Alligator mississippiensis: one gene and its partner. The protein of the gene in region 1 binds, or shares a complex with, the protein of each later gene. Links are inferred from orthologs where the notes say so. Each region holds a gene or a part of one and is shown on either strand. Other genes may lie near its edges.

Region 1 (7,786 bases):
CCACCACATCATGGTCAGTCCTAAGATGGCTCCACACAAAGTGCCTTGCAGCTGTGCAACAGGGTTGTTGGCATGGCTTTACGAAAAGCTTAGACAAGCACTTGTATAGAACAGTTTAGATAGGGATGATCCTGCCTTGAGCAGTAGGCAGAGCTAGACAACCTCCTGAGGGCCCACTTTTCTATGGTCCTATGACCAAGGGATGGTGAGGGTGCAGAGGGTAACATTAACGGACCAGGAGGGCCAGAGAGTCCAGAGAGGCAGCACAGAATAGCTGCAACCATCAACAGAGACTGGGGTTCAGCTTTGCTTCAGGCAGTAAGTGGGTTGGGGCAGGGCAGGAATGAAGTAACATCATGCTGCAGAAGTCTGCCCATAGGCTGGCAGATCTGGCAACTCTGCATAAAGAGAGAGATACCCATAGGACTGCTGGTCAGGTCTGAGAGGGGCCCAATAGCAGAACACAGGGGCAGGCAACTTGCATCCAATTACTGGATGTGATGTTGTCATCACAGCCAGAGAGCTAAGGAAAGAGATGGGCAGGGCAGAGCAGGGTGGGAGAAGCATGGACAAAGCTGCACGCAGCAGGTGTGGAGTCAGAAGAGAGGACCGCAGCCCAGCAGCTGCCCAGCTCCATGCATCTCCATCACATCCCTGCCTCCAAGCACAGAGACCCTCTGGCACACTGTTGCACCAAAATGCAGCCTGGTTTGCTTTTGAAGAGCCCAGGAGAACCTCTATCTGGGAGAAGCAGCACTGAGCTGCAAGGAAGCTCTTCTAGTTTTACAAGGGGTAGGAGAAAAAGGAGGAAGGAGGCTGAAGACCATGATATAAAACAGCAGGCACAGGAGGCAGTGGCAGCAGCACCCCCATCCTGGGAGGCCCTGGGCGCAGACACACTAGGGAATTGATACAGCAGAAGAGGTTGTTGTGACAACCAATGCCCGCTGTGGAGCGCTCGTGTTACCTGCTCAATATTGGGCTTCTCAAAGGGTGGGCTCCCAAGGGACCCTTCCACCACCGGACGGCTCATTTGCAGGATGCACTTTCTCAGGAGCTGCGAGACACAAGGAGGCTGTTACACCACCGAAGGCAGAGCAAGGGCAGGGGTTAGCCAGCTGCAGAAAGGGGTTCCAGCAAGACCAGGAGGAACAAGCCAGAGACCAGGCAGCCCCAGCACTGAGGGCAGCTCCCATGTGCTCCAGGGCCTGGCTGGCCCCTGCCTGGAGCCTGCAGGTGCCTGTCTGCAAAGGTAGGAGGGCAGCCCCTGCCCCAGGGTAGCACCCAGATGCGAAGCCCCTTCCTTGCCCCATGCAGGCCTACCCCTCCAGAGCCACAGCACCAAGGGGGAGGGGGGGGGCAGCAGCGGCAGATAGATCCCACTGCACCCCTGCCTCTGCCAACCAGCTCTAGGTCCCGCTGGACTTCAGGTAAAAACAGCGGGGAACATCCCAGTGGTCAGTGGTGTGACATGCAGGAGGGGGCCCTCTATATCCTGGGGATCCTAAACTGGGGCCCCTGTGAGAGTGCGTCGAGGGGGCCACATGGCCTGGGCACTGTCTTCAGTGCAGCCAGCTGTGGATCTGGCCAGGCCTGAGGCAAAGCATGCCCGGTTCTTCCTTTGAAGATAATTCTCCCCACAGGCCTTGGCTCAGACCTTCTGTGCAGTTTCCAAAGAACCACCTTGCTGCTGGGCTGATTGAACAGGTCTGCAGGCACCTAACAAATGAATCCCCCACTGAGCCTAGATCCCAGAACAGACTTCTGCAGCACGCTCCCTGAAGAGCTGGCCTATCAAGACATTGGGTCCAGCAAAACCAGAACCCCAACAGCATGCAGACACACAGATCTGACTCTTGGTGAAAGGTCTGTCTAGCAGAACAGCATCAAAGGGCCACCATGTCAGACTGGGAACGGCCTAGCATACTGCAGGCTGAAAACCTTAACTGTGTACGACCCCTAGCAGCTCCACATGAAATCAAAACCTTGCAGGGGGGAGTTAGCCAAGCCCAGCGCTGGGACAGAGTTTGGGGAGAGATCATAGCACGTGGGTTCTTAACACCCCAAAGGCATCCAATGGGGGAGACGGGGGGAAGCTCCCTACCAGCTGCTTTCCATAAGCTTCAGGAGCACCAATGCCATGTGGTAGGGCTAAACACTGCTGCTGAATCGGGGGGACGTGACCACACAGCCCAGCTGGCCACCAGCACTAGCTTGCACGTCACCTGGCAGCAAAGCAGGGACCCTGAGGCACCTCCACAAGGCACGGCACCCTGCAGAGCGGGACCCCGGGGCACAGCCCTGAGCAACGCACCTTGAACAGGTAGAAGTACACTTGCTTGGTGTCCGTGTCCTCCTCTTTGTGGACCGACATAAAGAGGTTTTCCACGTCCACCACCATGCCCAGCAGCCGGTTGATCTCCTCCTCTGAGACATTCTCCAGGTGGGACACATGGTCAGCTGCGGGGCCGCAGCAAAGGGCCGGCGGGTCAGCACCAGCGGCCGCACGCAGCCACCCCGTCGCCCCGCTCCTCCACCCCTGCCCCGGTCTTACCCAGGGCGTGCCCGCAGCTCCGGCAGGGCTCGCTCAGGTTGGCCACGGGCTGCTGCAGGTCCATGCGGGGCGCCGTGGGCGGGTTGGGGTTCTTCCACCCATTGCACTTGCAGGCGTCGTTGGCCTGCGCGGGGGCGGCAAGAGAGCGTGAGGGGGGCCGGGGCCGGGCTCGGGGCCGGGGCGGGGCGGGGCGGGGGTGCTGCCGGGCCCGGTACCTTGCAGGCGGAGAAGACCCCCAGCTTCTCCAGCTTCTTGGCGCGGGGGAAGCCGCGCACCTGCGCCTTGCGCTGGCTGGCCCGCTGCTGCTGGCTCAGGCCCGGCCGCGCCGGGTCGCTGGAGCCCGCGGCGCCGCCCGCGCCCGCCCCCGCGGGGCCCGCTCCTGCCGCCGTCGACGCCGCGGGGGGCTGCGTGGTCCGCCCGGGCTGCGCGGCCTCCGGCTCCGCCATGCCGGCTCCCACCCGGCCCCGCTGCGCCGCCCCGCGCCTGCGCGGCCCCTGCTGGGAGCTGTAGTTTCGCCGCCCGCCCCGGGGGCCGCCCGGAAGCCGGTCCTTGCACGTGGGCTCGCACCGCGCCACACCCCGCTGAGGTGGCCGTCAGAGAGGACAGCTTGGTCGTTCTCTGTTGAGACGGAACCGGACGCCTTGACGTCCTCTGTTTGAAGAGAAAAATAGAGGACTAGAAGCGTCGGGTGCCGCATGAATAGGGGACAAAGGAGCAGAAAACAGGGACGTGCCCTGTGCTGTCCACCCTGACTCTGCCGCGCTTAAAGAGGGCGTCTGCCCGGCGGCGCTCGCAGCCACCATGAGTGGCACACGCTTGTTTCTGTTGTCCAAGGAGCGAGAGCCGGGAGCTGGCGGTTTCCGAGGGCTGCCTCGAGTCTAGAGGGGTTGGCCGGACCCTAAACAAAACCAGCAGTGCCAACCCAGGGTGACGGAGCTTTTGGCCCTGCGGGCCAGATGAGTGGTGCAGATGTGTCTGTCTGCAGGCCAAATCCAGGCCGTGGGCCCACAGTGTAACCAAGGGCCCAGGTTGAATGGAGCCCCGTGCGTGCCAGCTGCGGCCGTTTCCCACTCCCAGCCCTGCCTGTGCCAGGTTGGGCCCTGCTGCTGCAGCTGCAGCCCTGCACAGGCTGAATCGGGCTTGTTGCCTCGCACCAGGCCAGGACTTGAGTGCCCCTGCTCTGACCTAACACCGTCCCCATTGTGGCCCCCTACAATGGGCTCCCCCAGCTGAGAATTTCAGAAGGCCATTAGCCCCTGCTTGGGGCCTTAGAGGCCACGTTTCCAGCTTTTGTCTGTATCTTTGAGGCTAGAAACATTTTTTGTTTTTCATGAAAGCTAAAAACACCCTCATCCTAGCAGCTGGGCCATGAAGACAAGCACAAGCCTTGCAACATAATCGCTGACAACAGGGGAAGAAAGGACAGGCTCCTGGGTGTCAGGAATTTGTCGATCAGGAAGACATTGCTAGGGTGGGTGCTGACATCCCTCCCTTCTTCTCTCAACGATTGCCTTACAAACCATTTTGTATAGGACACCTCTTCTTAGGACCTCTCTTCACAAGTCCTGACTGTTACACTTTTACAACATGGTTCAATATCTCCCAGCCTTCAAAACTGTCTCCTCCAGAAGTCCAAATCCTAGGTCAGATTTAGTTTCCAAGACCGTAGGGACACTCACCTACAAATAGTAATCTAACATTGAAGGACCCAGACCTATGACATGTATACTAATGTGGTGTAAAGCGGTTATGTGCAGCAATGTAAATAACTCCTGTCTGCCGTCTGCCTGGCCTGAAGGTGAGAGGCAGAGATCAATGGCAGCTGCTGCCCTTGCAGGCCTGTGGGGTATTTCTGAGCAAGAACATCCGCTCCAGAATCAAGAATCCCAAGCAGGACCTGGATGTGCCCGGAGACAGTCTTGTGCATGGGCAAAAAGCATGTGTTTACTCCACCTTTCGTATCAACTGCCCTGCAGAAAAAAGAGACTGTTGGAGTATAAGCTGGAGTACACACAGTGTGCACCATTCCACAGCCTTGCCACAGTGGCAGGAGCACACCTGTTGGCCTTGGAAAAAAACAACTACACCAGGACAGATGGGGTCGGATGATCTCCTACACATTTTTTCTGAGGCAACAATACCCCAGAGAGGTTTATGCTGCCTATCTGCTCCTTCCTTATGGTGCTGTAAAGGTTGACTACACTGGCTTAAGACACGCGGTACGTCTGCACCAGATGTAATTCTATCCTTTCCATACTATGCTCTTCAATCAGTGATTTTTACACACAAAGCACTGACACTTTCCTCCTCCTCAACAATGAGCTGGGCAATTGGACAAGAAACAATTTCCATTGAATCCACAGACAACTGGCATGTGGGAAACAGGTTTATTTCCATCATGACACATAAGCAATACAGTCAGCCGAATAATTGTCACCTGGCAATAAAGTGGTACTGAAACCCAAAGCCCCATCCCTCTCCAGATTGGTGACATGTATAGCTTTCTCCAGAAACCAAGGTGGCTACAGACTCTGCACAGCCCCTAGTCACTGCAGTAGGAGGGACACCTAGGTATGATTGCGGGGCTGTGATGCACCACAGGCGTGCTGCAGTCTCTGGGCCAGGGCAGCAGGCTTGCCATCATTCCCTCGGCCTGGATCAGGTTTCCTGGCTACCACTCCCCACCTCCCTTCCCAGCGCCTTCTCCTCCTTGGCGGTAGTGTCTCCTTGTGTGGCTCCCTCTCCCGCCTGGATGCTGATGGGAGTGGCTTTCCCCTCTGCAGGCTGCAGGGCCAGGCACGGTGCCTCAATGCGGAGCTGTCCATCTGAGCACAGGGAGCAGGTCACAGCCTCCACGTCCAGGCCCGTGGACAGCAGCATTTCCCTGCGCAGCTCCAGGTACTCCTGGAAGCTGCCTCCATCTTCTCCAGCACTCTGCTTCTCACGCCTCCCTGTCACCGTCACCCTCCTGCCCTCCTGCCTCACTGTCAGCTCCTCCGGGGAGAAGCCGGCCACGTCCATGTGCAGCTCAAACTTCTTGTCCTGCCGACCCCCAGACTCCGGCTCCTGCTCTGTAGCCCCAGCCTGGGCCCCTCCATCCTGCCTCAGCTCCCCTTGGCCCGCAGGCTCCAACCACAGGAGCGGCTGGGCCTGGAAGACAGCACGGCTCAGCCTGTCCTTCGCCTCCACCTGCTGCTGCAGGTCACTCGCCATCTGTTCAAAGATGCTGGCTGGCGATGGCTGCAGGAGGCTGCTCATCCCCTTGCTGCTGCAGACACACATGGGCCACCAGCCTCGCGATGGCCACTGCCACACAGGGAGCAGCCGCACCAGGCGCCGGGAGTAGCGTGCCATGGCTCTGCTCCTGCCACGCACGCTGCCTTGCATTGCTCAGCTGAGCACTGCCTCTGCTGCCTGCTGGGCTGCCTTTTGTACCCGCGTGGCACTTCCAGGCACTTCCTGAACTTTCCTCCTCCTGCTCATATCTGGGCTGAGCCTGCCTCCTCCGGCCGTATCTGGCCTTGGTGGGAGGGCCCTGGCCCTGACTCGTGAATGATGGATCAGGCTGGCTATGTGGTAGGGCTGGGCTTTGCTGGAAGGTGCCTCACCCCTCTGGGTGCACAGTGTGGGGATGGGCTGCAGGGTGAATGGAGCAGTTCTGGCTGGGGCCACAGAGCAGGAGCCCAAGTCTAAGGGTTGGCAGGACAAGAAGTTTGATCTGCATCTGGACGTGCCTGGCTTCTCTCCAGAGGACCTGACAGTAAGGCAGGAGGGCAGGAAGGTGACAGTGATGGGGAGCCATGAGAAGCAGAGCCCTGGAGAGGATGGAGACAGCTTCTGGGAGTACCGGGAGATGCACAGGGAAATGCTCCTGACCGCAGGCCTAGACCTGGATGCCATTACCTGCTCTCTGTGCTTTGATGCACAACTCCACATTGAAGCAACACGCCTGGCTCTGCAGCCCGCAGAAGGAAAAGCCATTCCCAGCAGCATCCAGTGGGGAGAGGGAGCCACACAAACAGACCCTGCTGCCAAGGAGGAGAAGCTAGGAAGGGAGGTGGGAAGCAGCAGCTAGGAGTTCTGATCCAGCCAGAAGGGGTGATGGCAAGCACACTGCCCTCACCCAGAGTCTACAGCCATTTCTGGGGTGTATCCCTGCCCCAGTCCGGTTATCCCATCCAAGGACATCATACCTAGGAGTCCCTCCTGCAGCAGTGACCGGTTTAGTCTTGGCTATGTTGGACTCTGGACAGAACTCTTATACCTGTGCCCAACCTGGAGAGGAACGGGGCTTTTGGTTTCAATATTGCTATGTTGCCTGGTGACATATATCTTAGCCAGGTGATGGTGATCTTTCTGAATGTGTTGTTTGTGTGTAGTTGGTGGAAATAAACCCGCGTTTCCCACATTCCAGTTGGTAGTGAATTGATTAGAAACTTTTTTTTAAATTTCCAAACAGGGAACAGTGGAAGATGCAGTTGCAGTGACCTTTAAAACCTGTCCCCTGAGGCCTGAGCATCACCACACACTGTCTGGCAACCTCAGGCCCTGTATTTTGTCAGTCTATATTTGCATACACTTTCAAAGTAAATTTTCTAGCCTGGGAGCAACCCCTTCCAGCAACTGGGCCCAGGCCTCTGAGTCTGAGTCACACGAGTGATCCACTGGATTGCTGTGGAGCTACTCACTTGCTAAGGGTTTATCAGTTTAGGATGGGGTGGCCAACCTGCAGCATGTGTGCCTCAAGCAGCACAGGCAAACTCTGTGTGTGTCATGAAGCAGATGGAGCAAGGGACAGTCAGCATGTGGATAATCTCTTCTTAAGTCTCTTTGCTTAAAAAGCCCTTGCCCAGTGCCTCACACCCTACTCCCACCCTGCCCTTGTTATCACTGTCCTTTCAGAGCTTTTGTTGTAAAAAATCCCCTGGGTAGAAAACATGTTATCTAATGTCAACTCTAGAGATGCCATGGTTAAAAAGGAATCATGTTGCCTAGTCCCCTCTTCCTACCCTGCATTTGTTCCTTGGCTTTACAGCACAGCTCCCTATTTAGAGGAAGATGACAAAGTTGGTTGAGCTTAGGCCAGTCAGGGACAGGGGCTGGTTTATGAACAGCAGGCGCTTGAGGGGATTTCAGCAGCACAGGCTCTATAGTGCAGGCCCACTCTGCTTTCCCCAGGGAAGAGCTTTCCAAGCACCCAGAGCAGTTTGTTTGGCAACAGCAGGTAGAGGT
Region 2 (6,817 bases), on another chromosome or scaffold:
CTGGTGGCAACTGAAAGTTCTGAATATTAGTTGGATTCTGAGGTGGCTGAGGCAGACGAGGTGCTAAAACTGTAGGAGTCAAAGTTGCTCTGATACCACTTGTCGTTGCTGCTGGAGTCCTTGGCAGATTTTGTGCCACTGTATTGGCAGTGCCCTTAGCCATCCCCGTAGGAGTACCAGGAGCTGCTGGAGGTATCCCACCAGGATTGGGGGCCACATTAGAGAGCCCAGCTTGCATAGTTTGCCCAATGATCATGTTACCCCCTGTAGTACTGGGCTGGCCACTAGCAGCCAGTGTCTGCTGTTGGGATACTGCCTGCACTATAGTTTTAGGAGACTCCGATTTGATGACCTGCGTGGTGGGGGCTGCCGGCACACTGGAACCAGGCTGGCTGTTCACAAGCGATGTCTGGAGGGCAACTCCAGATCCCACAGTGGCTGCAGCAACAGCAGGAAAATTCCCCACACTGATGGTTGAATTGATCACAGTATTGCTCCCATTCTGGGTGGCTGCAGCAGCTGCAGCAACCGTGGGTCCTGCTGTATGAATCGGTGGCCTCACCAGTGCTACAGTAGCCCCCCCGCTTCCAATGCTTGGTGGTGGCTGTGAGGAGATCACTGTGGGTGACGAAGAGGCAGAGGACACAGCAGTGCTGAGGAAAGAAGTCTGGATGACAGTGCTGGAAGCTGATGGCAAAACAGCATTAACAGTATTTGCTTTCCCCACCGATCCAGGTCCATTGTTAACTAGAGGGGCAACAGCAGGTGCAGAAGCAGGATTAGCAGTTGCAGGAGTCCCAGAGAAAGCAGCACTTCCGGAGTGGTGAGAGTTCATCACCACATTACTCCCATTCAAAGTTTGCACGGTTGTGGTCCCAATTTTGCCATTCCTGGTGGACAAGGAGGTTGCCATGGTGCTGATAACCACCGATTTGCCCTGACTGAGGGTCCCTGGAGCAGCAGTAACTTCAGATCCTCCTCCTCCTCCTGCAGCTGCTGCTGTAGCTGCTGCAGTGGTGGTGCTGGTGCTGGTCGTTGTGGCTCCATCCAGAGCTGAACTCTGGGACCTGGTGTTATGGTTAATAACACCCCCTTGCACTCCTCCAGCTCCTGCAACAACGAGAAGGAGGTTACAAGAAGAGAATGCGCAGGAGACAACAGAAGCATGGGAAGCATTCTCCCCCCAAGCAGCCTTTTTCCCCCACATGCTGCCTGCAATAAGAAACAGGGGTGAGCATATGCAGAGGAAGAAGAGCTACAAGCCAGTGAATCCCAAGGCCCCCTAGTCTCCCATTAGCAGCGTTATTAATTATAACGCCCACTTGCACCAAGAAGGGAAATCAGACGCCTGATAGGATACAATACAGACCATGACTGGGGAAATGTTTCTTTTCCTTCAACCTATTTCTCTTTCATTCTAGGGACTGACATTATGTCTAATAACTTCAGATCCTGCAACTATAAGGGGGAAAAAAAACTGAAGGCGAGACAGAGAGCCTGGGAAATCCATTAATAAGGTGTATTCCCCATGCCTTGTACACCTGATGTGGGCTACCCTCCTCATCCTATCAGCTGCCAGACTGGCAGCTAGTTGCTGGAGCATCTAGTTCAACTACTGCAAGAAGAGGAGGTGGGGACGAGAGAACCGACAGCCTGACAAGGGGAAAGCTCTTAGGAGAAAGAGCGGACGGGATCTGCTCTTTATGGTTACGGGAACCCGAGAACCAAAACCATAACAATAAAGTAAAATCGTAAAGAAGAGAAGGTAGATGCTGGCACTGAGAAGGACCATTATGATGCAGCTTCTTGCCCCCAGAGCTCTTCATGCCCCTTGGCAAGGCCTGGTATTATGACTAACCCCAGCTTAGATACTTCAGGTCCTGCATTAAAAAGAGAGAGAAATGGGAACGGGGCAGTCACTGACAGATACACTAAGAGGCGCATCGTATGGGGGACCCTCCCCCGCAATCCCCGCTGCTTTGATTTAATAGCAACGACCTCTTAGCAGAAGGAAAAAACACACACACACACACACACAAAAAAGAGGGGGGTGGGGGTGGTGAGGAGGCGACAAGAAGCACAAGACAACATTTTCCCTCCCTCAAAAAAAAAAAAAACAACATCTTACACGCCACCATCCCCCACCAACGGAGACCTCGCGTCGTGACGAACACCGACCCCCCCCTCCACCCCCCAGTCCCAAAGCCGGCGGGAAGGCGAGGAAGGTGGGGTGCACCCCCCCCCATTGCCACCACCACCACCTCCACGCCGGGACCTGACGTTGCAAGAACACCCTCTTGAGGGGAAAGGAGGAATGAGAGGTGTCGAATGCCCCCCTCCAGGCTCCTGCGAGAAGAGGCGGGCGACGGGGGGACACCCAGACAGATGCAGATGGTGCGTGGGGGGGGTGGGGGGGGACACCCTCCTCCTTGAACCCCCCCACCCGGCTTCCTCCCATACAGGAAATAGGTGTCATGATTAATAACCCCCCCTGGCACTCCAGCAGCCGGGGGGAGCGCTGGAGTGCGAGGGGGGCCGGCAGGAGGCTCCCCCCGCTGCCACCCCCGGGGGGGGGCCTGAAAAGTGGGGGGGTCCCCCTGCCAGAGCCCTCAGGGGCAGGGGGGAAGCCCTGTCCCTCCCTACCTGCTTTGGGGACCTCGGGGGCGCTGAGCCCCATCTTGCCTCCGCCCTCGCTGTGGACATGGGCGCCGCCGCCGCCGCCGCCTCCTGCTCCCGCTCCCGCCGGGCTGGGGCTCGGGCTGCTGCCGCCGCTGCCGCTGCCGCTCACAACATGGTTCCCCAGCAGCCCCCCGGCGGCCCGCAGCGGCTCCTGCGCCTTGTGGGGCGGGTGGTGGTGGGCGGAGGCCGCCAGCTGCGACTCCAGGGAGCCCACCAGGTCGCTCACCACCTTCTCGTCCACCTCCGTGTTCAGGAAAACCTCATCCAGCAGATCCGAGCCCGCCGCCATCTTTTTTTTGGAGGGTTCCTGTGCGCTGGGCGCCCTCCCCCCTCCCCTCACACTCCTCCCCTGACCCGCCCCGCCCCTCCCCTCCCCCCGCGCGCGCCGCCCGGCCCCGCCCCCCGCGCCCCCTGCGCAGGCGCGCCCGCCGGGATTCCGCCGCGCGCTCATTGGCCCGCCCGCGCCTATAAAAGGCCGCGCAAATGGCTGCGGGGGTTTAGTCGGGAGCCGGGCGGCGGCGGCCCGGCGGGAGCTGGAGGGGGCGGGAGGGAGGGGGGCGCGGTGGCGGGGAGGGAAGGAGGGAGGGTGGGGGGTGCTCTTTGTCTGGCCGAGCCCAAAATGGCTGCGAGGCTGAAGGGCGCCGCACCTGTGAGGAAAGGAGGGGTGAAGAGAAGCCCGGCGCTGAGAGGAGGGCAGCTCCGGAGTGACTCCGGATCCGCGACAAGGCCGCTTCTGCAACCTAACAATAGGGCCCGGGAGGGAGGGATGCTGGGGTTGCCTCCAATCTCCCTCTAGTTCAAGCGGGAGCTCAATCCAGCCTTTCCATGCACAAATTTTTTTTGGGGGGGGGGGGTGTTGTGAAGTGGCCCACAGGCTGATGCTGTCTTTTGGGAGGAGCGAATGGGTCCTTCCAGGCTGGATGCGGTGCTGGGGGTGGGGGTAGCTAGAAGGAGACCGGAGGCAAGTCGAGAGCAGCTGCTTTTTTTTTTTTTTTTTTTTTTTGCGCTTGTAAGTCTGGATTGAAACCCCTGAAAAAAAAAAAAAATGGCCCACAGAGGAATATTTAAAGAAAGCATCAGCCTTTTGGGAGGAGCAAACGCTGCCAGCGCCTTGTCCAAATGGATGCTTCTAGGCTGCAGAGGCAAAGGGATGTGTTGCAACAGTTTCCCCCCTCCCCAATAATACCTTTTAGCTTATTTAAAGCAGACAGATGGAGCCTGGCCTGCTGGTCGTGGCCCAAAGGTGGTATGGACAAGTCTTGTGTTGGCCTCTGCAACATTGCTTAGCTTGGACTCTGGTTTGCTGAAGTTCAGCACTCAGTGTTTAGGAGTTGGTGGGAGAAGAGATGAGAGAGACAGGAAAAAGAAAAAGTCTTCCCTTAAACATCTACTGGACAGTCTACCACAGAGTCAAGCCACCTATTGACACCGGTGGAAAAGAGGGGAAGGAGGTGGGAGTCAACAGCTTTAGGGAAATGGTCTCTCAGGTCAATACATTACCACTAATATTGGTCTTAGGACTCTAATCATCATTCATCACCGACACTGCTAGCAGCATCTATGGGCAGTCCCTGAAACACACTGGTTACTGCCAATGCTGCCAGCGGCATCTGCAGGTGGTTGCCAACCACTGGTTGGTGCTCCCCACCACCACCCACCCCAGAGGGGGCCACCTGCAGGTGGTCTGTGCCCTCCGCCCCCGAGTCTCCAGGGACACACAGCACTCATGCAAAATATAACCCATGTATTCCTAATATTTTAATATGCATCCTAATATTGCTGCTCGTCTAGTTCCAAACTCTCTTTTCCCCTGTTAATAAAGCTGGAGACAGTTTATTCTTCTCTCCCATGAAGAGTTTTGCACTATGAATGAGAATCGGAGCAATTGGCCTTTCTTGAAATTCTTATCGCCTCAAAACAAGTCATTAAAACTTGAAGCAGTTGCCTCCCTCCTCCCAACATTTAAAACCTTATTAAATCCCCGTGTCTAAATTCCCCTTGTGTAACCAACATGTTCAGCCATTATAACTATCCTTTATCCTTGTTTTCATTCATTACTGTTACAAGCTTTCCTCAGTTATCCTGCTCAGCACCTGGTAGAAAGCAGCAAGGAAAAGGACCTGTTTCTAATTACAGGGTTCTCAACTTGCACTTTTTGTCAATACTAGTTGAACTACACTAGTGCAGCTGCTGTATCCTACACACACATCCCATGAAGCCTTGTTGCCCAGCTCCTGAAATGCAGGACCACCACTTCTACAGCTCATGTCACTTCTCTCCCATGCTGCTGCCTTTATCCTCAGTTAAGTTCTGTCAACTTTAGTGACTCCAAGAGAAGGCTATCTGTCCATGCATAACTGAACAATAACAGGATAGCAATTCACAGGCTGCACCAACTGCCAAAATGACTCCTCAAGGACAAATTCTTCCAGATGAAAGCCAGAACAGTCCTGATTAGCCCTAGGATGACAAAGATGACCAAAAGTCACTTTTTCTGCTCCTTTAGCTGCTTGGGCTGCATTTGGCTACACATGCACCATGGATTAGAATGACAGAGGGGCACAGCAAGAGAGAAGAGCTCATGTGAAGGAAGAACTAAACACAGCAATAGGGACAGAGGGAATGACTAAAGGACAAGAGGGTCACAGCTGGACAAAAAAAGAGCAGAAGAGATTAAGAAGTTCAAAAGGTAGGAGATGGTCATGTTGGGGGAGAATTAGCAGAACTCTTGGACAGAGAGAACCTTCATTGTGAGCCAGACCATACAATGATTAAGATTGCTATGATTCATTTCCAAATGTTTGTAGTATTAATACTTCTTACCGTATCATATGGAACATCTACTATACTAGCTAGCTGCCATACAACATTTCAATAAAAACTAATGAAACTCTGTCTAACATGTACATTAATAAAAAGAGTCATACATATAAACACCCATCTTTCCCCTAGTCAGTAGTCTCAACTGCCATGCCTTTGATGTTAACATTAGTGGGGGGGAGGCTGCACAGAGGGTGAAACATGCTTTTGTAGAGGTGGGCCCCGTCTGGTCCAAGGCTCCCTCATGGCCTTGTCCTGATTTTACTCTCCCTCAGCCCTCTAGCTTGGGGCCCACCATTCAGAGCTGCAAGTTCCTGGGTCAGCTCTGGTCACAACCCACAACCTCAGGTTCCAGCCTCTGCAATCCACTATGTAGGCGCTAGGGGCCTGGCATCCCGTTTTTCCCCTGCCACCTCCTGCCTTATAGTCCAGACAATCTTGGCCTCCTATGGCCACCAAACATACTTTAAACATTCATCTTTACAGTCCAGGCAAGCTTGGCCTCATTCAGCCACAGAACACACTCTAGTCCTTGTCCTCTGTCAACTCAGTGCAAATTCAGGGTCCCCCAGTCCCTCCCCCCCCCCCCACAACCCAGTCCTCGGGGACAGGGTAGGGAAGGAGGGAGAGGAATGAAAACCACAAAATGCAAGCACCAGTCCCAGTTCAAAAGAACGCCCCACACGGAATCGCCCCACCTCTTGGTGGCAGGCTCCAAGTAGAAAAGAAAGCAAAACAGGAAGTCCCAGTGGTACTTAGCTTTCTTTCTATGCAGGCTCCCAGCTTCTCTTCACTCAGCGCTGCCCCCCCCCCCCCCCCCCCAAGTCCTCTCTCCAGAGTCTGGGCTCCAGTCTCCACACCTCCCAGGGAAGGCTCCATCCCGGATGGCTTCCACAGCTGGCCTGAAGCTTGGGCTTATATAGGGCTCCCTGGGTCACATGGCCCCTCTACTTCCCCTCCTGGGATCACTGGCAGGGATCCTGGTTTTCCCTGTTTAAAAATGGCAAATTCTCCGATTAAAATGCACTTGCAAATTCTCCGATTAAAAACCCTAAAATCCATGTTTTCCCATGATTAATAGGAAATGCCGCTATATATAGGTATCAGTAGAACACAATGATTTATTGATATATTTACAGCTTTTAAGCAATTTCGAAGCCTTCCAGTACCTCAGTCACTACAATAAAATAAATTCTAAATGCCTATAAAGTTTGGCATTTGATTTTAGGTTTTTTAACTGTGAAAAAAAAATCAGAGCTTCCCCTACCTCTTTTGCTCACCAGGACATGGGTCCAGCAGTGACCATCCCTCTCCTCCA

What was found. Proteins that work in one complex are often made in the same cells at the same time.
Region 2: KAT2A (region 1) and TAF4 share a complex: the UniProt entries of both Homo sapiens proteins name them as parts of the TFTC-HAT complex. The link is inferred for Alligator mississippiensis from reciprocal best matches to the Homo sapiens genes KAT2A and TAF4.

What each region holds. Positions count from the first base shown.
Region 1 is NC_081827.1:162,545,809-162,553,594, reverse strand, and holds the start of KAT2A (histone acetyltransferase KAT2A), read right to left. Parts: upstream 3,016-7,786; 5' UTR 3,001-3,015; coding exon 2,770-3,000; intron 2,679-2,769; coding exon 2,555-2,678; intron 2,461-2,554; coding exon 2,315-2,460; intron 1,058-2,314; coding exon 968-1,057; intron 1-967. Other genes in the region: heat shock protein 30D-like, read right to left, coding at 5,213-5,908. UniProt on the Homo sapiens protein: Protein lysine acyltransferase that can act as a acetyltransferase, glutaryltransferase, succinyltransferase or malonyltransferase, depending on the context.
Region 2 is NC_081832.1:5,995,306-6,002,122, reverse strand, and holds the start of TAF4 (transcription initiation factor TFIID subunit 4), read right to left. Parts: upstream 3,008-6,817; 5' UTR 2,969-3,007; coding exon 2,644-2,968; intron 1,111-2,643; coding exon 1-1,110. UniProt on the Homo sapiens protein: The TFIID basal transcription factor complex plays a major role in the initiation of RNA polymerase II (Pol II)-dependent transcription.